4 linked regions of the Rhinolophus ferrumequinum genome follow. The protein of the gene in region 2 interacts with the protein of the main gene of each other region in a pairwise test. Links are inferred from orthologs where the notes say so. Each region holds a gene or a part of one and is shown on either strand. Other genes may lie near its edges.

Region 1 (6,827 bases), on a different chromosome or scaffold from region 2:
TCCCTGCTCTACCTAAATAAAAAGGTCTGTTGTTGTTTTTTTAAAATCCCAGCCCTCATGCAGCTTACACAGTGCCTGGCCCAAAGCTCAATGTTTGTTAATTGAGGAAATACATGGTCCTATCAGACAAAAATTCCATGAGGTAAGAGTCCATGACTATTTTATTTATCACTGTAAATCCTCCGTGTCTAGGCACAGTAGATGCTCAGTACATGGTTATCAGTGAAAAAGAGAAGGATGATATAGTCCCTGCCCTCAAGCTGAAGCCACACAGCTCTCTGACGCAGTAGGAGAAAAAGAGCCAACAATAAGTGCTGAAAACTCCATAATAGGAGTTCAGCAATTTGGAGGTAGGCTGGAGAGTCAGTAAAGGCCTTAAGTGGGGCATGTGCTATGATCTAACTGTTAAAGGAAGAATGTAATTAAATCACTGGGGGAAAAAGGGGAGAAAAGAGGGACTCACAGATATTTGAGTTTGAACCCTGGCTTCACATTTATTAGTTATGAGTTATTTAACTCTCTAAGCCGCAGCTTCCTCATCTATAAAATGGGAATAATCATCTCCTCTTCAATTGATTAAATAAGAAGCAAGATAAATATGTAAAGAACTTATAGCACTTCGTACCTAAAAAGCACTCAACAAATGATAGATTTTTATCACTGCTGAGGTTATTGTTGATGCTTTTGGTTTTGTGCTTAAAGTAATCAGCATGGATTTTCACAATTGGTGACCAGCCACATAGTAAACAATATTTCATAATCATTCTGGAGAACAGAGTGAAGAAATAAAATGGTGTCACTATAGTCAAGCCGCTAAATTACTAAAATCAAGTTGGTTGAGGCATGAGAACATTAGTCTATTCTTGTTTGAACTAGCCTGGGAACTTAAATTTTGAACTTTCTAGTCCTGTATCAATGCCTGGATATACATCAGTTCATGGACATACACCAAACCTCCAGATAACGCCTGAAAGACTCACATATCTAGACCACCTGACATCTATTATCCAGACCATGGATGTGACAAGACCTCTTGGCACCCATCTTCCAGATCACATGGCATCCATCATCCAGATCTCGTGATAGCTGACTGATAACCACCCTGGGCCAATCCTAGGGCTAAGAATACAGAACTGATTATTCTTAAGAATGCACTTTTTACTATAAGAACTCTTAACTTTCCTTTTTTTCTTCAGAATACTTCTGGGTTTTTGCCTAGTTGTGTTTTGGGTTTGTAAACCCTAAGACCCTTAAATAAATCATTATCATTTATTTCTAGCCAAAGCCTCCAGACTCTTTTTTAGTTTGTTCAACAATTCTTTCTTGAATCAAATTATTGGCAGAGCTAACTAGAAGTACTGAATTGTTTAGTTATATTATGGCAATGTCTTAAACATTTTCTTGCCAAATAAACCATTCTAGCAAATGGCCATACAGATGGTTCAATTACCCCCTTTCAGATACAAGACATGTAGTTCCCTTTCCTACCCAAACGCCAAATAATTAAGTAATATTTGCCTTTTGTGTCCTAGGGGCCACAGCCACAGAGATGATCTCCTGTATTAATTATCTTATTTAGCCCCTAAGCTGCAAATTATGGTCAAGGAAAGCTCCAAGATTTAGAGTTCTCCCTTGAATTCTGAGTTTTCTCTATGGAAAACCCTTATAATATGTTTCAGCATCTACTTCTCAGAACTTGACTTTCCTTTTACCGAAAAGAGTGTCAATACATTCCCTATTACCTATGAAGACTTAGCACTTACCAAATGATAAGCATGTGCCAGATATTATTTTAAGTGCATTACATGGAGTAAGTTATATAACTAGCATTACAGCCCCTGTGATGTTGGAAACTGAATAAAATAACTTGCTTATAGTCATGCAGCTGGGAAGTGGCAGAGCTGGATCCAAATTCAAGCAGACTAGTTCCACACTATATTGTTTCTTATTAAATACCTCTACAAAATATGTCTCATATTTATCCCCCTTCTTTCCATCTTCACTGATGCCACATTCCAGGATGTCTTAGTTATGTTATTACAATAGCTTCTGAATTTGTTTTCTGCTTCCAATTTCTTTATTATTATTATTATTAGTTGCAGGTGTACAAAACAATGTAATAGTTAAGACATTTATACCCCTCACAAAGTGATAACACCGCACCCCCTCCAATTTCTTTCTGATCATCTCTGTGTATCACTGCCAGAATAATTTTATTAAAACACTGGTTTCACTGTGTCACTGCTCTGGTCAAGAAACTACATTTTTATTGTGGCAAAATATACATAATATTTATCATTTTACCCATTCGTAAGTGTACAATTCAGTAACATTAAATCCATTCATAATGCTGTGTAACCATTACTACTGTCTCTACCCCAAACTTTCTCATCAAGACAATAAAAACTCTGTATTCATTAAACAATAACTCTATCTTCCTATAGCACTTGGTAACCTCTATTCTACTGGTTGGTGCAAAAGTAATTGTGGTTTAAAAGGTTAAAAATAATTGCAAAAACTGCAATTACTTTTGCACCAACCTAATACTTTCTGTGAATTTGCCTATTCAAGAAACTACATTTTGCAAACCATACCCTCTCTCTAATTTTTCAGGTTTCTCTATAACTTGACCACAACTTTATTTCTTCATATTTTCTAATACAGACTCTCCAATCTGATTTCTTAACATTCCATTCTCTCAACTGCTGTAATTATATCAATAGTCAATACCACACAATTTTATCATGTTTAACCATTGGGTGTTAGAGCTGGATTGAATTTTATAGGTCTTCTAGTCCAATCTTATTTTACAGGCTTGTGAGTTTAATAACTCGCTTGAAGCTACACCCAGTTGGTGGCAGGGATTTGAACACAGAATCCAAGTCTTTTAAAACTGTTTAGTGAGCCCTTGCAATTTCTCAGACATAGTACTGAGCATTTGACATTGTATTCTCAAACAAGTCCTAGGCTGCCTTTATCATCATCGTTATAATTTTCCATCGTACAAATGAAGAAAAATCTCACTTCAGAGAAACAATTTGCTTACTCTCTTCATGCGTTTGCCTTCTTTTAATAGTTAAATATAGTCTAGGATTTTTCCACGTGCATGCATCTTTTCTTCTCCACACTTGGGCAGTAAGTCACATGAGGACAGTGATCATGTCTTTTCTAGACTGGCAGAACCTAGCAGCACGCTGCATTCCCATTGTTCAGTAAATAAACATATAGATAAACGGATTGGCGTGCGCAGTATTTTGGAGGATTTGCTCCAATCTTGGCACGGTATTTTAAAGACAAAGGACCTGGGTAACGACATCGACAACACAAATCCCTACAAAGAATGCAAACGTGTCCTGATATCACAGTGCTGGCATAGAGTCGACACACATTGAACTACAGCTGCCCTGTCCAACGCGCTGCAATTTACAAAGCTGCACCTCAAAAGCCGTGTTTAGGTTCTGTCCTTTAACTCCGCGGCCGGGCCATTTACAACCATGGAGATCCGCGCAGGATCGAAGCCGCTTGAGTTGGTGGTCACTGTTGTGTCTGACGCTGGTTTGGTTTGGTTCGGTTTGGTTTTCACATTTTGGCTAGGCTGTTGCGGGGTAGGCGAGACCCGAGTTCTCTCATCAGGATTGCCAAGGAGGAACCCGGAGTTCAGCCCCACCCCTCTTTCGGATATTTGAGAGGGGTTCTCGAGACATTTCGCCCCGCACAAAGATGGCGCCGAATCCAGGCTGAGCCAATGGAGAATGGCGTTGCTCCCGGTTGCCTAGGTAACAGCCAATGGGCAGCGGGAATTGTGCCCAGTGCGGCTACCCGGGATGGCGGCGTCAAGTGGGGCAGGCACTGGTGGAGGTGGCGGAGAGGCAGGTGGCAGGGGCGAACCCCGCGGAGCGGAGGTCCGGGCTGCTGGAGCCCCGGGTCGGGGCGTGACCGTCATCCAGAAAGGCGGAGCCCAGGTTGGCTGGCAGTGCGGGTTGGAAGGGGCTGGGACAGTGTGATCGGTGAGGAAGGGACCGAGGAACCCAGCCCTAGATGACATGGGCTGGAGAGCGCGGCTCCGTGCTCGACGCGCTGACCGGAGGGCGGCTGCCCCGAAGTCCCCAAACCGGGCCTCGCGTCTCCACCGCTGGGTGCCGAAGCCCAGGAGCGCCCGTGGCACGGGGGTTAGCGAGCGGAGTGGTTGGGGGCTGTGTCTGGAGCAGATGGCAGACCTTGTGCGAGCAGAAGATCCGGCCCGGGAGGGAAAGCAGACCCGGGTAGAGGGCAAGAGCAATGCTGGAAGGCACGAATGGGTGGTTGAAGGAAAGGGGAAGTGGACCAGAAAGTGTTGCCTTGTTGCCATCTAGGGCTTTGTTTGCTCTGGGCCCGCCTCTCTCACACTCCCGTGGGGAGATGTCCCCACACATCAAGTCTTGGGGAATGGGATGCCTCAGTTAGTTGATGGTAGCATCCCAGCATGGTGGCATCACCGAAATGCTTAGGTATCAGCAGCAGTAACTCGGCTATATTACTGTAGTATTTTCCTTAACCATGGCATTTTCCTTAACCATGAACTAGAATGGTATCCTGGCAGTCCCCATTACTCCCGAGTGTTTGTTTGTTTGTTTGTTTTTTACTTTCTTTCTGGTGTCAGGATTTTCTTCTCAGTTTCTTCAATCTAACTGTCCCACAGTCTTCATAAATAAGAACTTTAGTAGTGATACATTTAGTTTACTTTTCTAATAGAAGGGAGACTTACAGTAAAAGAGACGTACAGACTTATAAAAACAGTTAATTCAAGCTCATGTAAAACACTTTAAAAAGAACGTTTGACTAGACTGAGAAACAACGACTTGAACGGGAGTGGGGCGGAGGGGGCGGAAGAAAGGGGGGGGAGAAAAAGAACGTTTGGCTTTTTCTTCTGGGTTTCTTCCAAACCTAATCTTTGTTCATCAAAACCTTCATTTTCTTGTCTTTAGGAGTCTGAAAGCCTAAAAACTGCTTTCTTTATAACTGAAGGAACTTTGGCAAGACTGTTATACTTTGGGAGGGGTGGTTTGGGAGGGGGTGGCCAGTGTTGAAGGTATATGTGGGTAAAGTGGCTGCCCCCAAACAATATTCTCAAACTGAAAATTTGTTCCCCTTTATGTGAATTTTTTTTTTTTTAATCCTGAACTGGGGCACAGGTTACTATGAAAGCATACGTATTCTTTTAACAAGTTTGATTTCTAAAATTTAAAAAAAGACGAACGGAATGGAAACAAAAGTTACCATTCCTGCCTCCAACTTCTATCTGGAAATGTCTGGGTCAGGAGAAAAGAAAACTAGCAGGGATATAGTCTGTTGTGCAGACTAATAGTGTATTAGTTTACACGGACAAAATACTAATTTCCTTTCAGATAGATGTTTGGATTGATCCTTTGCAACCCATCCGGCAAGAGAGCAGAAGGGTGGGTATTTGTTTAGAAGAAGCATGAACTATCTTGACTCTGTATAGCTGAAGCCTAAACTCATAGGCCCTCCATTTTATTTAAAAAGATTTTTTGAATAACTGATACACGTACTGATTTGCTAAAGTATTGGGTTTTCAATCTTCATCAGCACTAACTATACTTTTTAAGCTAGATTTGTCTCAATGACCATGGTGACTGGTGAAATTTCTTTCTGGGTCAGTGGCTATGCAGCTGACCATTAATTAGCATGGCTGATTACAGAAGTCATAAATGAAAAATCCTGACACTATTCCAGGCAGTGACAATATCCATTATTTGGACATAGGTAGAAGTTTCTAGTCAAGTGTGTTCAACCATGGCTTGAAACTCATGGAGTCAACATGTGTTCCCTTTAATTAGCACTTCTGATTATATTCTTGGGAATGGACATCACTTTGACAGGCAACTGTTGAAGGGAGTTTGCTCTACCTCCCTAGATCAAAAAGGAATGGAAATTTGTAGTACAGTATGGACTTTTGAAAACAAATAGGAGAGGATGGTGGCAGGGTTAGGTTGAGAGATGATATTCCAGTTCCTATTGCTGTATGACAAATTACCCCAAACTTAGCTGCTTAAAACAACCATATGTTGCTCACAGATACCTCAGATGTGATCAGGCTTAATGGCTTGCAGAGGGACTGGAGTCATCTGAAGTCTCCTTTACTCACACCTGATGCCTGGGCTAAGATGATTCAAAGATGAGACCTGCCAACCGGCTCACCAATACCTGTGGCTGTCGGTGTGGCTCAGCTTCCTCATAGCTTGGTAGCCTCAGGGTAGTCAGACTTCTTATGTGGTGGCTCAGGTCTCCCAGCACAAGTGTACCAGTGAGCAAGATGGAAGTTGCGTGACCTTTAATGATCTAATTTCAGAATACACCATCACTTCCATCATGTTCTATTGGTCAAAACAATCATAAGATCATAAGCCTACACAGATTCAAAGGAAAGGAGTTAGAGTCCACTTTTGGTGGGGCAATGGCAGGGTCTAATTGTAGAAGAATGTGTAAGACAGGAGGTATGTTTGCAAACATCTTTAGAAAATACAGTCTGTCACATTTGATTATAAGAACATAATCTTTCAGGTTTCATTGGCTTCCTTGAAATAGTTAGGGTTATTAAAGAACAAAAATTCAACCGAGTAAATTTAAATATCTCATTGGCTTTATGAATGATTCCTGAATTGGGCAGCATCCCATCTAGTAAAAATAGAAAGGTATTTCCGAGGAGTTGTACAAACTGAAAGGTTTTTATAGGCAGAAAGAGTGTGGGGCAAAAGAATGGATTATTTCAGGCAAGTTTACCTTCCCTTAGGGGAAGGTCAGGGGTCTGTCTTATCAAGCAGATTACA
Region 2 (7,852 bases):
TTAAGTCCCTAACAAAATGTGGCAGTAAGTAAGTGCTCAAATCTTGTTAGATATCCCAGCTTTACCAAGGAAGAATCTGAACTTCGGTGAAGTAACTCTCAGAGTGATAGTCAAGAAGCACAGGCTTTGGAGTCAATGTTCTATTTGTGAGACTTCATTCCTGAACCTCATGGAATGAGGTTCACAAGACTAAGTAAAATTATACCCGAGATGATCGTTCTGAGAATTAAACAGGATAATTCTGTAAAGCATCTAATATTCTGTAAAGCACCCAATCGACAGAATTAAAAGTGTATATTACAATCTAATAAGTATACGAAGCTAATTTGGCAACTCAAATCTCATTAAGACATATTAAACCTACCGCTTTAATTCCGCAAATCACTGTAGTATTTCCCAGCTTCACTAAAGCAGAACCATCTGCAGTACTAATAAGGTGCCTGGAACGTAGCAGGTAGTACCTGGTAGCTATTCTGTCAAGCTTTTCTTTTGAGTGATCTCAATTTTTTACACATTTGCACAGATTAAATGCCATCACTGGATAAAAGGATGTCACCAAAAAACTAATTTCTCAAATGATAATCAAATTTTTTAAAAAAACTAGTTTCAGATGTACAAAACAATGTAATAGGTATTTACAGCCCTCACAAAGTGATACCCCCCCACAACCAAATTCTTAAAAAATTAAAGGTGGTGAGGATTTGATACATTATTTGATTTCAGTACATTTGATGTTCTTAAATTACAACTGAATCATTAAACGGGTCGTATTCAATAAGAGATGAAAGCTCTTGGGAAATGAAAACAAATACTAAAAAACTGACATCTGACTTGCCTAATCGACAGAATTAAAAGTGTATATTACAATCTAATAAGTATACGAAGCTAATTTGGCAACTCAAATCTCATTAAGACATATTAAACCTACCGCTTTAATTCCGCAAATCACTGTAGTATTTCCCAGCTTCACTAAAGCAGAACCATCTGCAGTACTAATTGAACCTGAAAAGATAAGCAAGCAAAATGAAAAAGTCCACAGTGTTTTCATTTATCTTGTTACATATCTTAGTTTATGAAAATTTATTCCTAGCTCAACTCTTTAAAGTGGTATGATTACTGTTTTAAGAATTATATACCTGTCTTTGAATTTGAGTTAATCCTTTTCATTCAGTCACAGGACTGTTGTACAGGTAAAAATCTCTTGACACAAAAATCACTGGAATCTCTTAAACATGGTAGAATTTGGCTGAAATACTGTTTAAGTGGCTTAGAGGCTAAAACTTGGGAATGCCACACAGGTAAAACTGGAAAACTCCATGTTTGTAACAGAAAGTTTAATAAGTTTAAGACATAAAACCATGTCTTAGAGATCTGGAAGGAAGGGGCGGGGAGGGGGGAACGCTCTGTAGTTACTTTAAAATGGAGAACATATCAATTGAGAGGACTTAAAAAAAAACAAACTACAAATAAAAATACTAGTATTAAAAAAACAAGAAACATTCCAGTTTCAAAACTGAAGCAACTTCAACATTCTATTTTAGAATTCAAAATATACTCACCTATGTTGACAGTTGTGGTTCTGAATTCACCAAGTTCTCTTCCATCAGGACGGCAGTTCTCTTTCTAAATAAATATATATGAAAGATTACATCTACATGTATATTTTACATACAACCAGGGAAAACACATTAAACCTTGTTAATTGAAATTACTTGAAATTTTTTTTAGGTATAATTGACATATAACAGTTTCAGGTGTACAATGTAACAATTCAATATTTGTATGTCAAAAATGTCTTTAAAAATGTTATTATCAAAAGTTATAACATGTACATAATCACCTTTACTCACCAAAAATCTCCTGAAATACTCCAGAGGTTCCACAGTTCTGAAATGTTAGCAATATATCCGAGGTAAGTTAATGAATCTTAATATAAATCCAGAAACTGTAAAAGATCTTAAAAACGTAGTCATGCAGTATAAATCTCCACAATGTGTGACTGTTTCCTTCATAAATTCTGACACTTATGTTGCCACATAACTAATTATAAGAAGTAGATACCCTTGCTGTAGCAATCACTCAACTGTCCTTAACTCTGCCTTAAACAATTTCAGGACTGGAGTCCAAAGCCCTTGGACTTCTTTAAAAGGATTAATCCAGGTGTTAATGGCACTCTCCCCCGGAAGCAGGGATTCTCGGCACAAAAAAAAAAGTTACATCTTTATTTTTCACCATCCTATAACTGAAATTTAGCATATTCTTAAATTCTGACTGGGTAATATTAGCAATACCTGTGACTCTTAACAACCACAGACATTAAATGTTTTCGTTTTTACTTAATAGTTATTGAAGGTAGGTTCAGTTACTTTGAAATTCCACTAGTTACTAGACTCCCCACTAGATCTTGTTTAATTTTAAAACAAGTATGTGTACATCACCGTATCGTGAACTCGGGAATTTATAGAAATAGATAAGTGTTTCAATATACTTGGTTTTCTTCGGAATCCTACTTATCCCTTTAAAAATTTGGCTCCGAGAACGAAAATCTATAGGCTTCACCAGAGTGCCACACAAAAAAGCTTAGCTAAAAGCGTCCGTGCAAGGCACAATCCTTTTAGAAATAAATTATGGAGGGAGAATAGAATGGCACGTGGTTCTGATGCAACACTTTTTAAAATACAGCTGTCTCCTGGGGCTAAATGTCCACTACACAAGGCACACGCGCTCCGCAGCGGGTACTGAACTCAACGTATAGTCTTCTTTTCCATCTTCCCGTCTTAGTGCCGGGGAGAGGCCCCCTTTCCTTTCACTACAACCACCTCCAGGTCCTCCCGCCCGTCGCCTGCTTCCGCGAGAGAAAGTGGGAAGATGGTGGGGTGGCCTCCAGGTGAGAAAATCCCAGCTAAGGGTTAAAGGAAGCCGCCATCCGTCAGGATACAAACTCGCGCACAGCCGCCGCCAACACTCACTTGAAACCAGCCGCCATCTTCCCGCCCGCGCGCCTGCGCGGGGGTAGGACACTGCGCCTGCGCCTGCGCCTGCGCCTGCGCGGAGGTTGGGGGAAGGACACTGTTGTCTACGTGCCGCGCGCCGTCTGGGCCACCGCTTTCCGCACGGACTCCAGCGCTCTTCTACGGCTGCAGGAGACGCAGAAGGCCAGGGCATCGCTAGGGTGCGACCCGACCCTTCGCTTCAACAGTCACTAGCCAGACGCACCTGTAGGTTTCTTTGCATTCTACGCGTTTTGACGAGTCTGCTGTTATAGAAGTGATAGCTTCTCTGTTTACAAACAGTTCAAGAGTTTAAGAGAAAATCGACCTTATAGCAAATAATCCAGTATTGAGCGTGAAGCATTATCCCAATGTTCTTAATCCAGTGTTTCTGCGTCCTTTTCCTGCCCCCTCTTAGGTTATGCCTGGGTTTTCCTTCTCCCAGGTAAAGAGCTCCCTGCTTCAGCACTGGAGATTACATATATTTTCTTCGCGCTCATTCTCCGCACCAGGTTACACTTTTCAGGACCTTGGGCGGGCTCCACAGGAGCTGCTTTTATTGTAGGTTGCGTGGTGGGGTTGCCAGATAAAATAAAGGACATCCAATTAAATTTGAATGTCAGATAAGCAAAGAGTAATTTTTTACTATGAGTAAGCCCCAAATAGTGTATGTTAGTCGTTGTTACCAGGGGCTGGAGCAGGGAAAGTTTTAGAAATAGTGATGATGGTTGCAGAAAATTGTGAATGTAATTAATGGCACTGGATTGTGCATTTTAAATAGGAAAAATAGCAAAAAAAAATTTCAGTTTTAAAAAGTTAGGTAACATACCAAAAACTTTTAAATGTGTGGGTTGAATGGTATGTGATTTATATTTCAATAAGGCTGTTACAAAAAAAACTTAGTTGCTTATCTGAAATTCAAATTAAGTGGACGTTCTGTTTTCACGTAGTGCTAATTCTGGCAACTCTGGAGCAGAGCGCCTGGCTGGCAGACAAGACCCAATGTGTTCTCGCCGCGCGAGGGCGCTGTGGGCGGCGGGCGCAGCCTCTCCGCCTGCAGGAGGCGGGGCTGCGGGACGGCTTCCGCATGTGTGTAGGTGCTGGGGAGGGCGGCGGTGCAGCCGGCGCACGGAGGATGGCTTCGCTCCCGCTGCAGCTCGTGGTGCTCGGCGCGGTGCTCGGCGTGGCGCTGGCGGCCGCAGCCCTGATACTGGTGAGAAGGGGTTGGGGACCGACGCGGGTCTGGGCTCACTGCTGTTCTGGAGACAAGGCCCCAGGCGTGCTCTCCTCCTCACTGCCGGTTCTTCGACGTGTCCCTTTTCACCATGCTTCCCCTGTCTTGACCCCAGAATTCCTGTCCTGCCATTTCACATCCCTTTCCTTCCGTTGTTAATTTTTATTTTGGAGCTTTATCTCCCTACGTACCCAGAGCATTGTACGTTTATTAATGTTGGGACGTGCTCACACAGCCTTCACGCGTCCCCTGGTCCCCGGACCCTCTGCCCATCCCGACCTCTCCAAGACTTCCTCCGGGTCTGCAGCCTCTGCAGTTATGGCCCCGCCGAGGAGGTCTTGAGCCCCCCAGAAGGTGAGTGCTCTCTAGACTCCCTTTTCCTGATGTCGTGAAGCAAATAAGAAGTGGTGATAGCCCAGACGGGAGCCATCTATGACAGATTGGAATAAATCAATGGATTACGGAGACCCACCACGGACACAGGAAGACCGAGATAGGCAAGGCCTGATGTTACCATACGTCTGAGGGTCGTTATGTCCCAGAATTAAACACCTTGAATTTGCTGCCTCTCAATGAGGCAGTAAAATAGATTTCAAACTCGATTTTTCTTTGCCATTATTCTGGAAACACAGAATCACTGTAAACACTTGTTGGTCCATAAGTAGTAGAAAACGGCCAAGTGAACTTTCTCCCATATAATTTGGAGTGAACCTGTGCTCTAGTAAGTAAATGGAGAGGTTTCAGCATCCTTGGCATCAGCAGCCAGGAAGGCCACTCTGCCATCTTGCCAGAAAGTTTGTCAACTCACAGCTTAGACACAGTTTAGATAGAGAAAAAGCACTGTATCCTGATTTCTTTGGTGATTTGTGTCTGGCTGAGAGAGAAGTCCTCTCTTTCCCTTGGTGGTATATGGAGATTTTAGTTGTTTTTCAGGTTTTTGAGCAAGTCAGGTTTTTGGCGCGGCAGAGTATGACAAAAATCCTCGATGGTATCAACCTTATGCTGAATCTGTTGTACAGATTTACAGGTGTACATTATGAGTTTGTACTGAAGTATTTGATCTCACTGGCTTAAAATGATTGTAAGGGCTACCATTTATTGAGTACTTAAAATATCTTGGGTATTCAGAGTTTAACAGGATTATCTAATTTGGTCTTTAAAATAATACTGGCAAATGTTATCATTAGCTTCATTTGTCTGGAAAGGAAACTGAGGTTGGAGGGATAAGCTCATGTATACAAATGTCACACAGCTCATGGAACTTGTTTTTTTTTAAATGCCAGAGTGAGAAATCATTACCAAAAACCCATTAATATTGTTATATACACACATATATATATATATATATATGTATATATATATATATCCACCCTCCAATAGTACTTCCTCCCCACCCCGCCTTTCTTTCTGGATTATTTTGAAGCAAATCCAAGACAGTATTTTATCTGTAAAGCCTCAACATTTATCTCTAAAGATAGGACCTCTTCTTTAAAGTATAATGTCAATAGGGTTATCACAGATGTTTTTTAAGTTAAACATTCTTCTATGCTTTTAAATACCGATCATTTCCAATGCCTCCTGCATGTCTTAGTATAGTCAGTTTGTTCCAGTCAGCATTCACACACTTAGCACTTCATTGATAAGTCTCAAGTTTTTTTTCTCTCTTTTTTTACTGGGGACTATTGGGGACCAGTGTGTCTTTCCAGGACCCATCAGCTCCAAGTCAAGGCATTTTCAATCTAGTTGTGGAGGGCGCAGCTCAGCTCCAGGTCAAGTCGTTGTTTTCAGTTTAGTTCTGGAGGGCGCAGCTCACTGGCCCATGTGGAAATGGAACCAGCAACCTTGGTGTTATGAGCACTGTGCTCTAACCACTGAGCAAACCAGCCGCCTGATTTGTCTCAAGTCTTAAATTATAACAGTTTCTTGTCCCTTTTTTTCCTTTAATAAGTTGTCATTTGTCCTGTAGAATTTCTGACAATCTGGGTTTTACTGATTGTACCCTCTTTGACCTTTAACATCTTAGTCTGTCTCCTGAATTTCCCGTAAAGTAGTAGTTACATCTAGAGACTTGATGAAATGCATGTTTGAGGTTTTTAATCAAAAAAAAATGTGAGTGATGCTGAATACTTCCTCTTCCATCACATCAGGAGGCATATAATGTATGATTTCTCTGGTGTTAAGATGGATCCGTGGGTTCAGGAGTTGTTAGCCTGACTCTCCAGTTATAAAATCTGTCATTAACCTAATGGGTTTAGCAGTCACTGACGATCACTACCTAAATCCTTATTTCACTGGGAGTTGCAAAGTGCAATATTCTAATCATATCATTCCTTCTTCATGTATTACTTAGAAATCTATAATGAAAAAGAATTTAATCTTCCATTATCCAATTAACCTGAAATACCTTTCATATATAAAAGGTAAGATAAAAGGCAGGATTTTAAAATAATGAGATAGTTCCCTGGCATCTTACAAAGGTGACCGATTAATTTTCTTTATTTTTGGTATCATTATGAATCCATGGCTTAAAATACTTTTCATGTGTTTCCATGCATTGCTGTAATTTGATGCTCAAATCTCCCGCCATAAGCCAGTAAGAGCCCCTCAGGTTGGCTACTTTGTCCATTTGGCATCGTTCTTCATCGTCATTGAGGTGCTGTTCCACCATTGTCCGTTTCCTGCCCCAGACCTGGATTAGCTGTTCCTTTGAGGAGCACTGGTTGCTTTTAGTGGGAGATGCAATTTAGAAACCACAATCTGGACACCAGGGGTGCAGAGCAGGACGTTTGACTCACCAATCTGGATGTTGCCTCCATGCTCACACCAGTCAGAAGCATATGCAATTTTAGTGTTTTCCCAATAGAACATTATAAATGATTGTCAAATTACAAAAGAGTATCATTCCAAAAATTTGTAGATTGATTGTTTTGAAAGCCGAAGGTATGCCAATAGAAACAATGTTCCAAAGAATAGTTATTTCCAAAGCTAGCTCCCAGGTGCATATGGAAGGGAGCTGTGTAATATTAGTAGTGCATGGTGCCTACAGTCTACTACAAGTTTGATACTTTACTCCAGAAAATACTGTATTCTGAGTTCAAATATAGGATAAGTACCAAGAATATATTCTTAAGCATTACTGCTCCTCACTGTGGGGGTTGGGGTTGATCTGGGCCTGGATGGGAGGTCTGACCTCATCCCACGCATTCATCTGCTATATGAACTTGTCCTCTGTTACATACAGGCTCTAAGTAGGGATGGGACCTCACTGTGTGTGTACCAGGGATTGGGGGTTCAGCGCATCTATGAGTGGATTGTACTGTAATTTGTTCCCTATTAGATCTGGGATGATCGAGGCCAGGGGAATGACAGGTGGGAAGAGACAAAGAGCCCTGTAAGGCATTAGTACCTTACTAATGGAAAAAAGGACAATCATTGTTCTTGAGACTGGTTTGAATTTTTGGGTCACCTCTAGACCATTGTTAATGCACTAAAAACTGAGAATAAATGTTTCATCAAAGGGGAAAAAAATCACGTAAATGATGTGGCATTCCAACATAACAAATGTAAAAAGGGTTACCCTAACGTAATTTCCTTTTAACATATCTGCTTTTAGATTTCCTTTGTTGCA
Region 3 (7,625 bases), on a different chromosome or scaffold from region 2:
CAGATACACTGCTTTAGCAAGTCCTCAAAGAGTGCCCTATTTTTAGCTCCACAGCCACAAAGCTGATTCAGGTCAGGCCTCCTGCAGGCCCAAGTCCAGTAGTGTAAAAAGGGAAGGTCCTATCTAAATCAGGTAATTTGGAGAGGTACCACTACTCCTAATTCAAGTCTCTGCCCCACTCCCCCCAGACACCATTCAGATTATTTACTGTGACTCCTTCTTAGTAATGTTCAATTATTTTGATATTTTTGGAGAAAATATTGGCAAAAAATTAAACCCTCTGTACATATTTTTAAAGTGCAGCCTGAGGTCATTGTTGCTACTTCACCCACCCACCACACACACACAACCCCCAATTTGTTATAGGCCATGAAGTCTACAGGGTTAGTTCATGTCTACTGAAATTTCCCCAAAAGTCATGTTATTAAAGTTTTCTAAGCTCAGTATACTAAAAATCAGTCACATAAGTGGAGGAGATAGTCCCTTATGCCTAACTCATTTTATTGCATCTTATTGTAATGAGATTTATCTGATGTTACCAATGAGTTTTCAGTATAACTAGTTCTTGCCCCTTTCTACCTAAAAATAGAGATCCCACACTACAATAAGCTCACCAATTATCTAAGGCATGGAATACTGGAAATCAGACACTCTTTTCTGCTTCAAGATAAACTAGGATCTGGATAATCCAATTCCAAATAAGTGCCATACGTCCCTTATTTCTCTTTGTTTCTACCTCCTCCCTTACCAAACTCTCGCTAGTGCTAATACATATAAATAGAGGCTGAATTCACTTCCACCTCTTCCCTCTGCTTCTGGAGGTGCTGAGGAGTTCAGGGAGGCTGAGGAAGAGGAAGTAGGACGATGGAGATCCCCAAACTCACAAATGGGACATGGAGATCCCCAAACTCACAAATGGGACAGACTTGTTTACCTACTAATAGTAATGACTTGGGTGGGTGGCAAGACCGAAACATCCGGAATTTCTAAAAATTAGAGAAATCTAATGAACTGAGAAAGACAAAGCTTGATTTGGGGATCTCTAGGAAAAATGTCTGAGTGACAATGCCTGCAATATAATGCAAAGGTTTGTACCAGTTAAATCAATTTGTTTTTTAAAAAAAACAATTTCATGATACTGATGTGAAAATGAGGACCTTTAGTAAATAAATGGCTGGCCTTTCGACGTTGAAAAAAATGAAAATAGACTGGTCTACAGATGTTAAGTAAAACACTTACTCACAAATAGAAATTTTGAAAGCTATTTAGCATTCAAAAAAGGTGAGAAAACAGAAACATAAAAACTCCATGGAGGGGAGGGGAGGAATCTTAAACCTAAGAAAGGAAAGCAAACTGAAAGGTATGAAATACACACCAAGGAGGTAACCTGAAACTTTTATTCAACTATTTCAACAGCTATTTTTCAATATAGGATGGGTTTTGGTAACTGCATAACTACCAACTACAGTGTTATCTAACAGAATAAGTTCTTACAAGAAAAATCAGAAATACCTTCCTAGGCAATTGTGTTACAAAGTTATTTTGACCATTAACAGAGAAAAAACTCGGCCAAGAAGGCCCTAAGGCATCCCCAATTATACCTTTCCTACTACCAACACCAAAACAGATTTTTAAAAAAGTAAACGATTTTCAGCGTATCTTTATTGCCTTGCAGAACATAATAAAGTGTGGGATCTACTCAAAAACTATTATTTTAAAACATTCTATATTTTTAAAAGGTTGGTTTTCCCAAATTGCACATTTTCCCCCTTTTGATTCAGTGGACATCTGCGGGCTTGACTACCCCACATTCCAAAGTCCAGGAGCAGAAACACTAATGTTCTACGAGTAAAGTCTGGTGCACCACCTCCTCTAGTAAACATTTGGTTAACTGGTGTGAACGCTCTGCTTACAAAACGAAGACACGGTGAATGCGGAACAGAATGGAAAAATACCATTTCGCCAAGTCCCCAGCAATCAATCAAATGTGCACGCTCTCAGCGGGCCTCATAGATTGTCCTCAACTCATTACCTCTTAACCCGGAGGGACGACACCCAGTTAATTTACGGGTTTTTAAGTTTCGATTTACAGCTTCCAGACAGGCTAGCGTCCCATTCCGGCGTTACAATGGGCGGCTGTGACGACAGCGGGGCCACGCGCAGCCCCGGACGTGGGCGGCCCGGACAGCTGCCGGCAGCCGCTTTCCCACCCGGCCCCAACGCCCCCACCCCACCCCCGAGCCCCCTTACCTGCTCTGCCACTGCCCGGAACAGGCACGACCCGTCCTTGGCGACCAGTTTCCGATACAAGCCCAGTTTCCGCAGATAAGCGTCCATGGGCGTCGCGTCCTCGCGGAGCTCTGAGACGCCCTGGTCCCCGCCGTCGAGGGAGCCGACGGCTGCCTCCATGTTGCCGGTCTTGCTGCAGGCCAGGCGCGGCGCGGGCTAACCCCACATGGCCGCGGCGCCGGCTCCTCAACGCCTCGGCCTAGAACGAGCGGCGGCTCTGGCTCGGGCTCCGCGGGCGGCAGGCGGTGACGGCAGCCTGAGGCAGCGGTCCGCGCTCTCCGCGCGCATGGGGGAGCACTGCCTAATGCATGGCTGTGCGCACGCGGCCTCCTCCCGAGGGACCGCGCGCCCAAGGGAACCGATTGGAAATTAAAGAAAACCCGAGAGTGAGAACTCACTTCCCGGCGGCCTTGCTGCCCCGCTCAGCACCTGAGCCGGGGGTCGTCTTCCCTACAAGTTTCCTCGTCCCGACTGGGGTGAGGCGAGAAAGCCCCCGCCCCCCACACGCGGGGCCGGCTCAGGTGAAACGACGCCTGCGTCCCCCGCGCTCCCTACACTGGAAGCCAAGAAAGCCAAAAGAGAAAGACGCGGCCTTTCGTCTCCCCACCTCGCAGAAGGGCGCCGGAGGGGCGGGGAGCGGGTGGGGGCGCTCAGCGGAGGACAGCACCCTCGCAGCCCAGAATTTGTTTTCGCTTTCGACCCGACAGCGGGGAGGATGCCGGGAAATGTAGTTTTGTCGGAAGCAGGAAGTCGGCTTGCGACGGGCGGGGACGCGCAGCCGGCCTGCCCGTGGAGGAGGCGCCCTGGAGGCACGCGAACTACAAGTCCCTACAGCACGGGCGCCCCCGGACCCCGCTACGCGCTTCCCGGGCACAGCGTCCGCGAGCTGGACGAGGGTCTCAGCGAGCTGACGCGCAGTAATCTCCGCGCGCCTCGCGGAAGGCCGGACCGCCCACTGCACGGCGATGCCGCAGAAAGAGCTAGCGCCGTGAGTGCGCGCCCTGAGAAGTGCGCGGAGTTGCCAGGGACACGGCGGCGGCTGGGTGGGCCCTTTGTGTATTCCCAAACAGAGGGCGCACCTGTCTGCTCCCTCCCCCACCCCCTCTTCTCGAAGCGTTTCCATGGAGGTGGCTTTAACGGCTTAAGCAGAAAATACAGTTAATTGGTGAAGGCTGGTGGAACTGGCACAGTGTAGGACGACACAGACTGTCCATAAATCACCCATGAACTGCTGATTCCTGTTAGAAATTCAAAGTATAGCTCACGCACTATGGCAAGATGCCTTTGCCACAGACACTTTTGTTCACCCTTCCACTGTAGCTGTGCACCCCAGCACAAAAAGATGTCACTGGTCGGCAAATTAGAATTTTTTTTCTTAAAAAAAAATCATCTTTTAATTGCTTGATAACTAACATACTGGACTTGCCATGGGTTCCAGTGCTTGAGGTTTCCAGCTCAACTTCCCACCCTCTGAAGTTGAATGTCAAGTTATGTTTAGAACCCAGCATTTCTCCAGCACGTTTTTGTGACATCAGAATTTTATTTTGTTAAAATACAACAGCAGCTGGTATCCTAATTATTTAAATACGTAGTTAATCATAAAATGTACTCCAGTCTCAAGGCCATGGTGGGGGTTAGGGGTGGGTCAGAAGAAGGGAAAAGGGGGGGGTTACTGTAGGTTTGACATGTAGTCAAACTCTGGAATGGGGACAAGGTAGGCCAGATGGTGAGTCTAATGCAAACTACTGAAGACTCTAGAAATTTGTTTTCAGTGCAAGCAATTAATGACTTGTGTATTCACTTTCCTTGGAGCATCTCAATTTGATGTCTTAATGTTTAAAGATTCTATCTCCAGTTGTGCTGTTTTTAGAGACTACAAAAGTTAGTGTCACCTAAATAAATTTTCTTGTCCCAATATTAAATTTTTTACATGTAGTAGAGAAATAAACACTATGGAATCACTTTTAGAAAAATCTAGTTTCAAGTGAAACCTTTTCTCTAAAAATATTTACACCACATATGCTTCTCATTCCACTCAAAAAGAATTACTGAGATTTGTCACTACTTACAACATGGATTGTCTTTTTTTCCTTTTTCTTTTTCTTTTTTTTAAGCATAGTTTGCCTTTCAATCCGCAGAAAAATTCAAAGAAAGTTAACACCTAAACTGTAGAGCTTAAATATTGAATTCCTAAAATGAATAGATTCTGTAGTATTCATTTTATAAGCAACAGACTTTCTGATATGCCAAAAGAAAACCATGCCTTTCCTAACATTTAATAACATTTAATAAACAGAATTCAATCAGAATTTCTGAAGCTAATCTCATATTCAGTATGTATTAATGGAAAGTATACTGTATGTATCGTGGTAAGATTGCATTGACTATCTTGAGGATATATAAGAAATATATTTCCAAGGATTTCACATTTGAAAATTTATCAACCTTTTTTTTTGTAATTGAAACGTTTGTGACTATATTGCTTTCATTTTTTAAAAACTCATTCAAGTCAAAAGTTTTGCTTTTATGCACAATAATTTCATTTGGAGTGACTCAGTGTGTTTCAAGCATACTTTCTATTTTATCCATATTTTAATCTTATTTAAATATGCTTTCATGTATTTTTAACAAAGTAATATCACCATCTTCTAAATTCCCAAAATTCTTTTAAAATACTTTGAAAAAAGAAAACCTGAGGTGGCGGTTTAGCTCAGTTGGTTAGAGTGCGGTGCTCTTAACAACAAGGTTGCCAGTTCGATCCCCACATGGGCCACTGTGAGCTGTGCCCTCCACAACTAGATTGAAACAACTACTTGACTTGGAGCTGATGGGTCCTGGAAAAACACACTTAAACAAAAGTTAAAAAACAAAGAAAAAAGGAAACCAAATACATCATTAATTCTACAATATGTTTATTTTCCATTACAAAAATTTAATTCACTGACAATAGTATAATCAAAATAAGACTGTCATTTAACTATTCAAGTATTGAACCTGACACTAAAGTCCACTTTCAAATTTTTTAAATGAATTTTTAAATACTAAGAAAACAGAGGCCTTTATCAGAATTCATCAAAATTCTATGTTATCTTGCAAAAATGTGGTTTGTTATCAGAAGGAATAACACATTTCTGGTCTTTTCTACACTCGATGTCTTGACAAAATTACTTATTGTCCTCACTCCTACAGAATGAGAACAGAACAGCTTCACTCTAAACTATCTGCTTCTAGTTCCAAAATTAGAAGTAAAGCACCTGTTGTATCTGACCCTGGGCCTGTTTAAGGAAATCCTTTAGGTATTTTGATACCTAGTCCAAGACAGACCCTTGGCCAAATCCCCAAATATAGCTCACTATTCAGGCAACGATAAAGGATCCTATGACGTTAAACTGGACCAAAACTTACAGAAACTCACTTTCAAAGGATCTTTACTTGTTAACATTAACTTATGAAACTTTTCAAGAAGCCACATCTAAAATGAAAATCTTCACTCCGAGGAAGTCATTTATGACGAGCAAAAGCAAAGAACTCTTTAAGCAGACGTTCTAATCAAATAAAACCTGAAAGATACAATGCTACTGAGAACCTAATGAAATTAATCAAGTTCATCTTACACAAATGTGTCACCTTTCTTTTCTTATACACAATCAATACCTCAAGTCTGCTTGACAAACTTTGGAGCTAAAAACAGTACTGGATGGGATTTTTTGTTTTAAAAAATGATAGACTTTTTTGGAGTTTTTTTCCAATAAAAGGTTGGGTATTCTGAAACAACCGAAATTCCCATCGGTAGACGGCTGGATTAAGAAACTATGGTACATTTATACAATGGAGTAACACTTGGCCATAAAGAAGAATGAAATCTTACTATTTACAACGATATGGATGGACCTAGAGAACATTATGCTCACTAAAATAATTCAGAGAAAGACAAATACCATATGATCTCACTTATATGTGAAATCTAAAGAATAAATGAACGAACTAATCAGAAACAGTCTCAGAGACATAGAGGAAAAACTGAGGGTTGCTAGATGGGGGGGATAAGGGGGAAGGTGAGGAAAGCACGATCTGTAACCACAAGATTGCCACAGGGATATGAAAGGCAGTTTGGGGAATATAATCAATAATGTTGAAAAGATTTTATAGGGTATCCGATGGACACTTGTCTTAGGGAGACCACTTCAGGGATGCTGTAGATGCCTGATCACTGCACTGTACACCTGAAGCTGAAGCTGAATAATAATGAATGTCTACTATAATTATATATATGTATATATATATATGTATATATAGTCACAAGAAGTGGAGTACAGCATAAGGAATAGAGACAGTGGAAATGTAATGGCTGTATGCGATGTCAGAGGGATAGTAGATTGGGGGAGAGGGATTATCACTTTGTGAGGGGTATAAATGATAAATGTCTAACTATTACAGTGTTTTGTACACATGAAGCTAATAAATAAATAAATAAATAATATTTTTTTAAAAATTAAAAAAAAAAGGTTTGGTATTCTGGTAGCCAGCCTCTAAGATGGCCCCCAGGGATCCCTGTCTCCTAGTACTCACACTCTTGTATAATTGCCCCTACTTGTACCAAGGTTGGTCTGGATGATCAATAGAGTACAGTAGAGCAAAAGTAATGGTACCTCACGTCTGTGATTAGATTATAAAAGACACTTTCGGCATTCTGGTTGTTCTCGTACGTTCCCTCCCTCATGGGTGACTCACTTTGGTGGATGATGGCTGTTATGGGTCCTAAAAGCAGACTTACAGAGAGGTTCTCTTGGTAGGGAACTGGAGTCTCCTGCCAGCAGCCATGTGACAGCTTTGAAGCAAATCTTCCAACCCAGTTAAGCTTTCAGATGACTGTAGCCCTCGCTGAAATCTTGACTGAAACCTCATGAGAAACCTGGAGCCAGAACCATCCAGCTAAACTCAGATCTTAATTCTGAGATTCTTGACCTCAGAAACTGTGTGAGATGATAAATGTTTGTTGTATTAAGCACTTAAATTTTGGAATAATTCGTTATATAGCAATTAATAAGTAATAGAGATAATACTCCATTGTTTCTCTTTACTAAGGAGACATAAAATGTATTGCAATAATTCATGAAAATAATCACTAATTTAATACCTTTAGTGGTTTTTATTAGTTCTCTGGTAAACTAGCCCATAAGTAGGATTTTTATTTTTTTTAACTTTCTATTTATTTTAAGTGTGTTTTTCCAGGACCCATCAGCTCCAAGTCAACTAGTTGTTTCAATCTAGTTGTGGAGGGCACAGCTCACATTGGCCCATGGGGGGATCGAACCAGCAACCATGGTGTTATGGGC
Region 4 (7,880 bases), on a different chromosome or scaffold from region 2:
GGGGATGGGGCAAGGGACGGGTCACCAAATGGAGTCAATGACCTCTAAATGAGAGCACAAGACCTGCATCAAGTTTCTTAAATTCTGCAGGAGAGGAGAACATACCTATATCACTATTTGCATTGCAAGAGAGCTTTATGGAAGAATCATTGGTATGTCGCTGACCTACTGATGGCAGGACGATTGGTGGTTAACTACTAATTGGACTCTTGACCTTAGACGAGAACAACGATGAGGAGCCTCAAATACTTGTGCTTATTTGGGAAAGCTCACATTTTGTTTGGCAGGTTCCACAAGCCAGGCACTGCGTTAAGTGTTTAGTTGCATTCTCATTTTATTCTCAGAATAATCCTTGTTCTTATAGGAGGAAACTGAGGTTTAGAAAAGTGAAGTAACTTGCCTGTGGCTACACAGCTAGTAAATGGTAATCAGTGACTGACTCACGGGCTAGAGTCGTTCCCACCACTAGGTTATATAGTCTCTGGCCTCTGCCACCCACCTCATCCCAAATAGGGAAGCACATTCAGAGTTGTAAAACAAAACTGCCTGCATGAAGCAGAGGCTGGATTAGATGTGATGTGCTTTCCTTCAGTGGTTAGGTTAAATTCTAAATTCTAAAGCCGAAGATGTTTTAGAAATAACGGTTCTTTGTAAATTCATGGAATTTGAGGTAAAAGTTCCTAACTCCTTTAGAGATTGGGAAGCTGTCTAATTTCTATTACCTCCAGTGATACATTCCTTTGCGCTAATACTGCCACTCCTGAAGATTTATTTTACCTAGCTTAGAAGGTTCATGAGCATTTTAATATAGCACTCTATTGTTTAGACATACTAATTGTTTTACATCGTAATTATTTATTTATTGCTAACATGAATTCAAAGCAAATATGCAGTTTCTTTTAGACTAGAGCAAATCAGGAAATCAAGACAATTGCCATTTCAAATCTTAATCTTCAGAGAACAACATCTCCACAAGGTTGGCCTGAAGACACTCAGATTCTACCAGTTTTTGAGGCTGTAAGAGAAGAACAGTCAAACTGTAACCCACAACTACAAAAATGTTATTAGGAGAGGATAGAGTTGTTCTGCTTTGAATGACACAAACCTTGGAACAGAGAAATTACGCCATTCATGAATTATCAACCAGTTGCAACAAGTTTTAGGAAATAGTTAAGATTTTTGCTTTAAGATAAATCACTTGGCTCTAAATATAGAGACTAAAACAGGAAACAGCAAGCCTAATGCCAACACCCTTCCCCTCATCTCTTTAATTTAGAATCCCAGTGCCATGACTAAACTAGAAGAGGTGCCCTTTCTTTTCAACCAGAATTATGGATTAAATGGAAAACCACCACTGATGCCAGTGTTTTAAGAAATTATCTGTAAACCAACTTTCTTGAACAGTGCTTATACAATTTTAAATTAAGAATAGCTTTTAAAAAGCATGAAAAAGATGTAATATTTAGATATTTGCATTATTAATAGTTTATTGGGATTGGCCACGGGATGAACAGATGCACTCTGAACAGGAATGTGATGTGATGTTTGCGATGGAATATCAAGACCTTTTCAAATTTGAATCCAGAACAAGTTAAAAGTTTTGACAGGGTGAATTGTAGCCCCAACACATTAAAGAAAGATACTCACCGTTCCATATTTAAGTAGTGTAGGCACTGCAGTTACTTTTAAATTTTTTCTGAAGTCATTATTTGGATCTTTCCAGCTATTTTGAAAAGAAAAAGTGATCATGAAAAACATTTACTTGGTTTCTTACGTTTTGTTTAATATTTTACATATTCCTAAATTTAGTCTTTTAGCTATTGTTTTTGTTGTAAACATTTAAAAAAAACCCGAGGACTGACTTATCTATTCCCCCAAATAAAAACTTTCATTTAAAGTGTGATCAAAATATAAAATAAATGTAAAGACAATTAAGTTCTGAACTAACACCAGCCAAATTCATTGAATTAGCCTTCCCTAATGCAAATGGCTGAATATTGGAAATTTTTATTTGTATTTAATGTCTTATCATTGCTGGACTTATCTGACTACCTTAGAAGGTAGAACCTGAGTCCCAAGGTCCTTCCCGTCTAAGTTTGCAAGTCTAGTTCACGTCTGAGATACAGTACACACTGCTACTTACTAAGGTTTTTCTCCTACTTGGCAGTAGATGAACACACACCCTTCACGAACATGCTTCAGCCCCTCTCGGACGACTGGTTCAGCTTCCAAAAAGTAGATATAAAATAATCACACATCAACTGTACAATCAGGCACAGACACACAGGGCTCCTCTACCCTCCCCTCAGTGTTGCCAAGAACTCAGACTTTAACCTACAGTTAACAGAGGAGATTAACAGAAGTCAGGTATTCTCTGATTTGAGAGCCACTTTAAGGGGAAAGGACTCAGTCCCAGTCCTGATTTGTCGCGACGCCACAGCGCCCATAACAATGGAAGGCATAGATATTTGCTGACATCCAAAGGAGACCAAGTCACGTCTACTGTAAGACATTAATCATACTGGGGACGTGAAAAGTTTTAAAGGACTGGATTCTAAGATTATATGGGTCGAATGGTAGGAAGAGCACTTGGGGCGGGGAAGGACTTCACAGCAGGAGAGACGGGAACAAGGCAGGAGAAGGAGGCAGGATGACAGCTCTGATCGCCCTGCAGATCTCCGGGGGCAAGACTCCCTCTACCTCTTCCCAACCCCGCTCTCCGCCATCGCCTCGGCCTTCCCGTCATTTCCTCTGGGCGGCAGCCCCCGAATCCCGGCCTCACCCTGCACGCAGTCGGGGCACCAGCTTTTCCCTTCGGCGTCCTTAGAACCGGTAAAGTAGGCGAAAATGGTCTTGCCTTTGTGCAGCTCCACAGCCCGGCTGAAGTCCTCGAAACCGGACACACTCACCTCCTGGTAGCGGGCCATCGGGAGAGCGAGCGGCAGACAGCCCGCGGAGCCTTCGGGTCGCACCGCCGCGAGGCGGGGCCCCACGTGGGGCGGGGCGAAGCTGTTTCCGGGTGGCCTAAGAGGGCGGTGCCTAAAGGATCCCAGAAAGCTAGGAGGTGCTACGGGAGCCTCTGAAGGCCATGCCTCGTCCGTACCGTCTTTCTGCTCTCACTTCTCCGATCTTACGGTGCTGGCTCCATTGCGAAACCCAGGCTTCTGCCCCAATCTGTTCTGGGCCCCAGCCCCGTTTACAGTGGCTGCAAAACCTCCCGCCATGCAGCCGCTGGACCCTTAGGTGGTTTAGGATCCTTAACGGCTCCCAAGCCGCCCTGCGCCGGTTGCTATGGCGACTAGGCGAGCGGCCGGAAGCGAGGCCTAATTGGGACCCCCCCCCCGCCCACTTCCCCGTAGCCGCGCCCTGCCTTAGGCCAGGTGGGCTCGGGCCGGAGCTGGGGGGATTCTGGGAAGCTGCGTTAGGAATCATGGACCTGGGGGAGAGGAGACCCTGACCCGGGGCAGATCCTGCCGCTCGTCGCCCCCAATTACCTATTCTGCCTAGGCTTTGGGGGATCCGGGACTGGGGGACGGGCGTGCGGGGCTGGGCGGGGGTGGGCTGCGAGGGAATAAGGCTACGAGGTTGGAGCTGAGTGTGTGAGTGCGTGTGTGGAGCAGCCTTGGGAACAAGGTGTTAAGACAAAGTGCCCTGGGGCTGCGTTGGGGAAGACGGGAATTGTCCTCGAGCTATGAGCAGGGCGGCTGGCCGTGGGGCCTGGCCGAGGCTGCGCAGGGGCGAGCGGGTGGCAGAGATGCCGGGCCGCGGGGTGGGGCCCAGCAGGTCGGGCCGCGGAGTCCGACGGCCTGGGGGGAAGAGGTGGGGTGTAGGGACGTCCCGAGGCCGTGGATCTAGTCGCCGGGTGAGGTCCTCGGTGTGGGAGACGCGCTGTGTGAGTGCAGAAAGGCTGCAGGACGGTCGGCAGAGAAGACGAGCTGCCGAGACAGTTGAGGCCGAAGGGGCGAACGAGGCTTCGGAGACACCTGGCCCTGCAGGCTCAATTGAGGCTGCAAGGGACCCTGGGGCTGTGTTGGTGAACGGGGACGTGGGGGAGCCCCAGGTGGTGGGGCCTGCCGGGTCTGTGTGGGCGACTGGCATTGGGGAGGAGGAGGAGGAGGCATTTTGTAGGAGTCCTCGGGGCTGTGAGAGAAAAGGTCGTCCAGGATCTATGGGGCACGAGAGTATTCTGGAGCTGTGGTTGAAGGTGCAGGCCATGAGGGCAGCGTCAGGATGTGGGGAAGGAAGCAGAGTCGAGCTCCATCCTGTGCCTGCAGGAGAGGGGCCAGTTGAAAGGGGTATACCTGGCCGGGCTTCATGGATAGAGACCAGCCGTGGTGGCCTCACAGGACCGTGGGTGAAAGGACAGGCTAGGACAGTCCCCCAGGCCTCAGGAATATCTGCAGCTACTGATGTAGGGCCGAATTGTGAGAGGCCCTCCAGCTCGTGTGGGCAGGGACAGGCTGGGAGGGTGCCTCCTGTGGGGGTGCTTGGGACTGTAGAGACAAGGTCTGGGATTGCGCCACACCTGCTGGGGAGAGGACTAGCGGAGGGGGTGCCTGGAGCTGTGGAGGAGATAGGTTATGGCGCTGCCCCAGGCCCATGGCCAAAAGCACCAACTATGGGAGTTCCTGGGGCCATGGTGTGGCCTGAGGCTGTAGAGGTACCCAGAGCTGTGGAGGGAGGGAGAGGCTATGGGGGTGCACCAGGTCTGTGGGAGAGGGGTCTGTCAGTGCAGGTGCCTGGGGCTCTGGCACAAGAGGCAGTGTGTGGGGATACCCTAGGCGTATGGGGCAGGGCACAGGCTATGGGGGTGTCCAGAGTTGTGGAGGAGGAAACTCCAGGCTTGTGGCGGAGGAGACAAGCTCTGGAGGATGTAGGCCCTAGGGGTATCCCTGGCCTGTGGGGCACTGGGCAGCCTGTAGGGGTGCCTTGTTCTGAAGAAGAAACTAGACGTGGCGGTGACCCAGGATTCAGTGAAAGGGGACAGGCTGTGTGGGTAGAGACAGGCTCTGGAGGTGACCGAGGGTCATGGGAAGCTGCACAGACTGCAGAGGTATCTAGTCCTGATGAGCAGAAGGCAGGTCCTGAGGTTGCTCCAGGCCTGTGGGGTGTAGGACAGGCTATGGGAGTACCTAGGGCTTTGGGGAAGGAGACAGGCTGTGCGAATGTCCCGGGTGTGTGGGGCGCAGAACAGCCTGTAGGGCTATCCCAGGCTGGGGTGGTACTAGGAGCCATGGGCGAACATGGGCGGTATGGTGGCATCCCAGGCTTGTGGGACAGGCAGCAGGCTATGGGGGTACCTTTGGCTGATGCAGTGCCAGGGGTTGTTGGGGAGGAGACATGCTGTGGGAATGTCCTGAGTCTGTGGGAAAGGAGGCAGGCTATGGGGGAGCAAGAGGCTGTGGTGCCCACAGCTTTAGGGGTCTGTGGGTCTGTGGATCAAGAGACTGGCTATGAGGATATTTCCTGTTTGTGCAGGAGGAGACAAGCTATGGGCTTGCCGGAGACAGTGGGGGTGTCCGAGGCATCTGGCATGCCCAAGCACAGATGTGCTCCAGCCACCGGGCTACCTGCAGCTATGGATGTGCCTGGGTCTGGGAGGGTGCCTGCTGCTGTGTGGGTGTCTGGCCCCATGTGTCCGGAAAGCAGCTCTAGTGATGTCTTGAACCTGTGGGAAAGAGTTCAGACTGCCAGAATACCAGTGGCTTCGGGGGTACCTGTGTCCACCGAAGAGCTGTGGCCTGTGAGAGAGGATGGTGATTCTGCGGCTTTTCCAGGATCATGGGGAAGGAGACAGGGTATTGAGGTTCCCATGACTGACAGGGTTTCCGTGGCTCCTGAGGTACCCGGGCTTGTTGGGGAGGAGACTGGCTCTGGGGGTGTCACACGATCGTGGAGAAGGAGACAGAGTGCCAGGGTTCCTGTGGCTGCTGAGGTGTCCACGACTTCGAGGGTACCTGGTCCTCTGGGAGTGGAGACTGGCTCTGGGGTTTTCTCACACTTGCCAGGAAGGAGACAGGCTCCCGGAGTACCTGTGACTGCAGGGGTGCCTGTGGCTCCCAGGCCTGTGTGGGAGGAGACTGGTTCTGGAGGTGTCTCAGGCTTATGGGGAGAGACAGAGACAGTGCAAGTATTTGCAGATGCCAACGGTCCCACAAGAAGGGTGATGCCCGCCACTGCCAGGATGCCTGGGCCCAAAAGGGAAAAGATGGGTCCTGGGGGCATCTCGGGCTTGTCGGGAGGGAAACAGACGGCGGGGGTACCCATGGCTGTGGGGCTGTGCACAGCCACGGGGGTGCCTGGGCCTGAGGGGGACGAGACACTCTCTGGGAGTCTCTTGGGCTTATCGGACAGAGGACAAACTGCTGAGATGCCTGTGGCTGCTAGAATTGCCATGGCTGTGGGAGCACCTACAGCTGCTGGGGTTCCTGTGCCGATGGTGGGTGATCCTAACTCTGGGGATGTCCCAGGTGTATGGGGAAGGAGACCGGCAGCTGAGGGGCCTCCTGCCTCCAGGGCTCCAGGACCCGTGGACAGGGAGACTGGCTCTGAAGGTGTGTCAGGCATGTGGAGAAGGAGACCCGATGGAGTAGTCCCTGAGGCTGTGAGGGTACCTCTGTCTTTGGGGGTGCTTGCAGCGGTGGGAGTTCCCATGGCGGGGCGTGTGCCTGCTGCCGTGTGGGTGACTGGGTCTACTGGAGAAGAGGCGAATGCTGCTGTCTCGGGCCTCACAGTGGTGAGGAGACCGTCCACAGAGGGCCCAGGGGCTTCAGAGCAGGAGACAGGAGGGAGAAGTGTCCTGGGGCTAGCAAGGAGGAACCTGGCCCCAGGGCTGTCTTACACCTGTGGGCGTGGGGACAGGTTATGGAGCTGCCCAAGGTCTGTGGGGGAAGAAACAGACTATCAGAATGTGCCGGGATTCTCAGGGACAGGAACGGCTGCGGGGGCGAATGGAGCCGTGGAAGTGCCTCCCGTTTCAAGGGAGGAAACAGGCCTTGAGCATTTCAGGGGTCACCTGCAGCAGAGCAGCAGGAGACAGACGGGAGGGGTGTCTGGCATCCGAGTGAGGGGGAACAACTTGGGAGAAAATTGTGTGGAGGGGGACAGAATGAGGGGGGCATTCCAGTAGTATGTATAGGGAACAAATTGGAGGGATCCTGGGACTCTGGGAGGGAACAGTTTGGGGGGAGATTTGTCCTGAGTTGTGGATGAAGGTACAAGCTGTAGAGGTGTCTCAGGATGGGAGCGAGAGATCCTTTGTGGAGAGGTCCCACAGTACGCGGTGTAACAAGTTGGGTGGATTCCTGGAGCAATTGGAAAGGGACAGGTTGCAAAGAGAGACGTGTCCCAGGACTTTGTACAGGGGAACAGTTTGGGGGTGGGTGTCCCTGGACTGCGTGTGTGTGTGTGTGTGTGTGTATGTGTGTGTGTGCAGTGTCACTTAAGGTATCCTGGAGCTGTGGGGATCACCTAGTTTTTTTCCCGTGGAGAACGGATTATTGGGCCTTTGGCATCCTGGGGGAAGTGTTGACCACGTAAACGTTGCAGACGCCCCCCCAGGCTCCTTCCTTCTGTGGCCCCAGCCCCTGAGCCGTGCTGATAACCAAGCCAGTCGGTGGCCTCGCTCATGTGCCTCCTCCCATCTTCGTTTTTGATCATGTCTCCACAGCCTTAGAAATAAGGAATCTTCTACAACTGCCTTTATATTCCTTCAGATGTATCTGTCTTTAAGCAAATCCAACCTACAAACGTTGGGCTTATTCAACAGCTTAAATTAAAACCTGAATTTCCCAATTGATTTACTATGGGATTCTTTCAGAGAACAAGTTCCCCAGGACATTTAACACTAGTTAGTTTATGGGGAAAAAAATCAGCTTAAT

Evidence for each region.
Region 1: the proteins of EXOSC8 (region 2) and MORN4 interact in binary tests that used the Homo sapiens proteins (3 or more experiments, as listed by UniProt). The two-hybrid records come from large-scale screens. The link is inferred for Rhinolophus ferrumequinum from reciprocal best matches to the Homo sapiens genes EXOSC8 and MORN4.
Region 3: the proteins of EXOSC8 (region 2) and OTUD4 interact in binary tests that used the Homo sapiens proteins (3 or more experiments, as listed by UniProt). The two-hybrid records come from large-scale screens. The link is inferred for Rhinolophus ferrumequinum from reciprocal best matches to the Homo sapiens genes EXOSC8 and OTUD4.
Region 4: the proteins of EXOSC8 (region 2) and TXNDC17 interact in binary tests that used the Homo sapiens proteins (3 or more experiments, as listed by UniProt). The two-hybrid records come from large-scale screens. The link is inferred for Rhinolophus ferrumequinum from reciprocal best matches to the Homo sapiens genes EXOSC8 and TXNDC17.

The regions. Positions count from the first base shown.
Region 1 is NC_046299.1:26,202,687-26,209,513, forward strand, and holds the start of MORN4 (MORN repeat-containing protein 4), read left to right. Parts: upstream 1-3,824; 5' UTR 3,825-3,962; intron 3,963-4,029; exon of another isoform or gene 4,030-4,169; intron 4,170-5,384; 5' UTR 5,385-5,435; intron 5,436-6,827. UniProt on the Homo sapiens protein: Plays a role in promoting axonal degeneration following neuronal injury by toxic insult or trauma.
Region 2 is NC_046287.1:92,681,156-92,689,007, forward strand, and holds the start of EXOSC8 (exosome complex component RRP43), read right to left. Parts: upstream 3,005-7,852; 5' UTR 2,987-3,004; coding exon 2,970-2,986; intron 1,888-2,969; coding exon 1,851-1,887; intron 1,624-1,850; coding exon 1,560-1,623; intron 1,003-1,559; coding exon 929-1,002; intron 1-928. Other genes in the region: ALG5 (dolichyl-phosphate beta-glucosyltransferase), read left to right, coding at 4,078-4,203, 7,838-7,852. UniProt on the Homo sapiens protein: Non-catalytic component of the RNA exosome complex which has 3'->5' exoribonuclease activity and participates in a multitude of cellular RNA processing and degradation events.
Region 3 is NC_046301.1:18,616,579-18,624,203, forward strand, and holds the start of OTUD4 (OTU domain-containing protein 4), read right to left. Parts: upstream 3,001-7,625; 5' UTR 2,410-3,000; coding exon 2,251-2,409; intron 1-2,250.
Region 4 is NC_046304.1:13,915,715-13,923,594, reverse strand, and holds TXNDC17 (thioredoxin domain-containing protein 17), read right to left. Parts: upstream 3,020-7,880; 5' UTR 2,928-3,019; coding exon 2,783-2,927; intron 2,226-2,782; coding exon 2,144-2,225; intron 1,724-2,143; coding exon 1,648-1,723; intron 1,016-1,647; coding exon 947-1,015; 3' UTR 256-946; downstream 1-255. UniProt on the Homo sapiens protein: Disulfide reductase. May participate in various redox reactions through the reversible oxidation of its active center dithiol to a disulfide and catalyze dithiol-disulfide exchange reactions. Modulates TNF-alpha signaling and NF-kappa-B activation.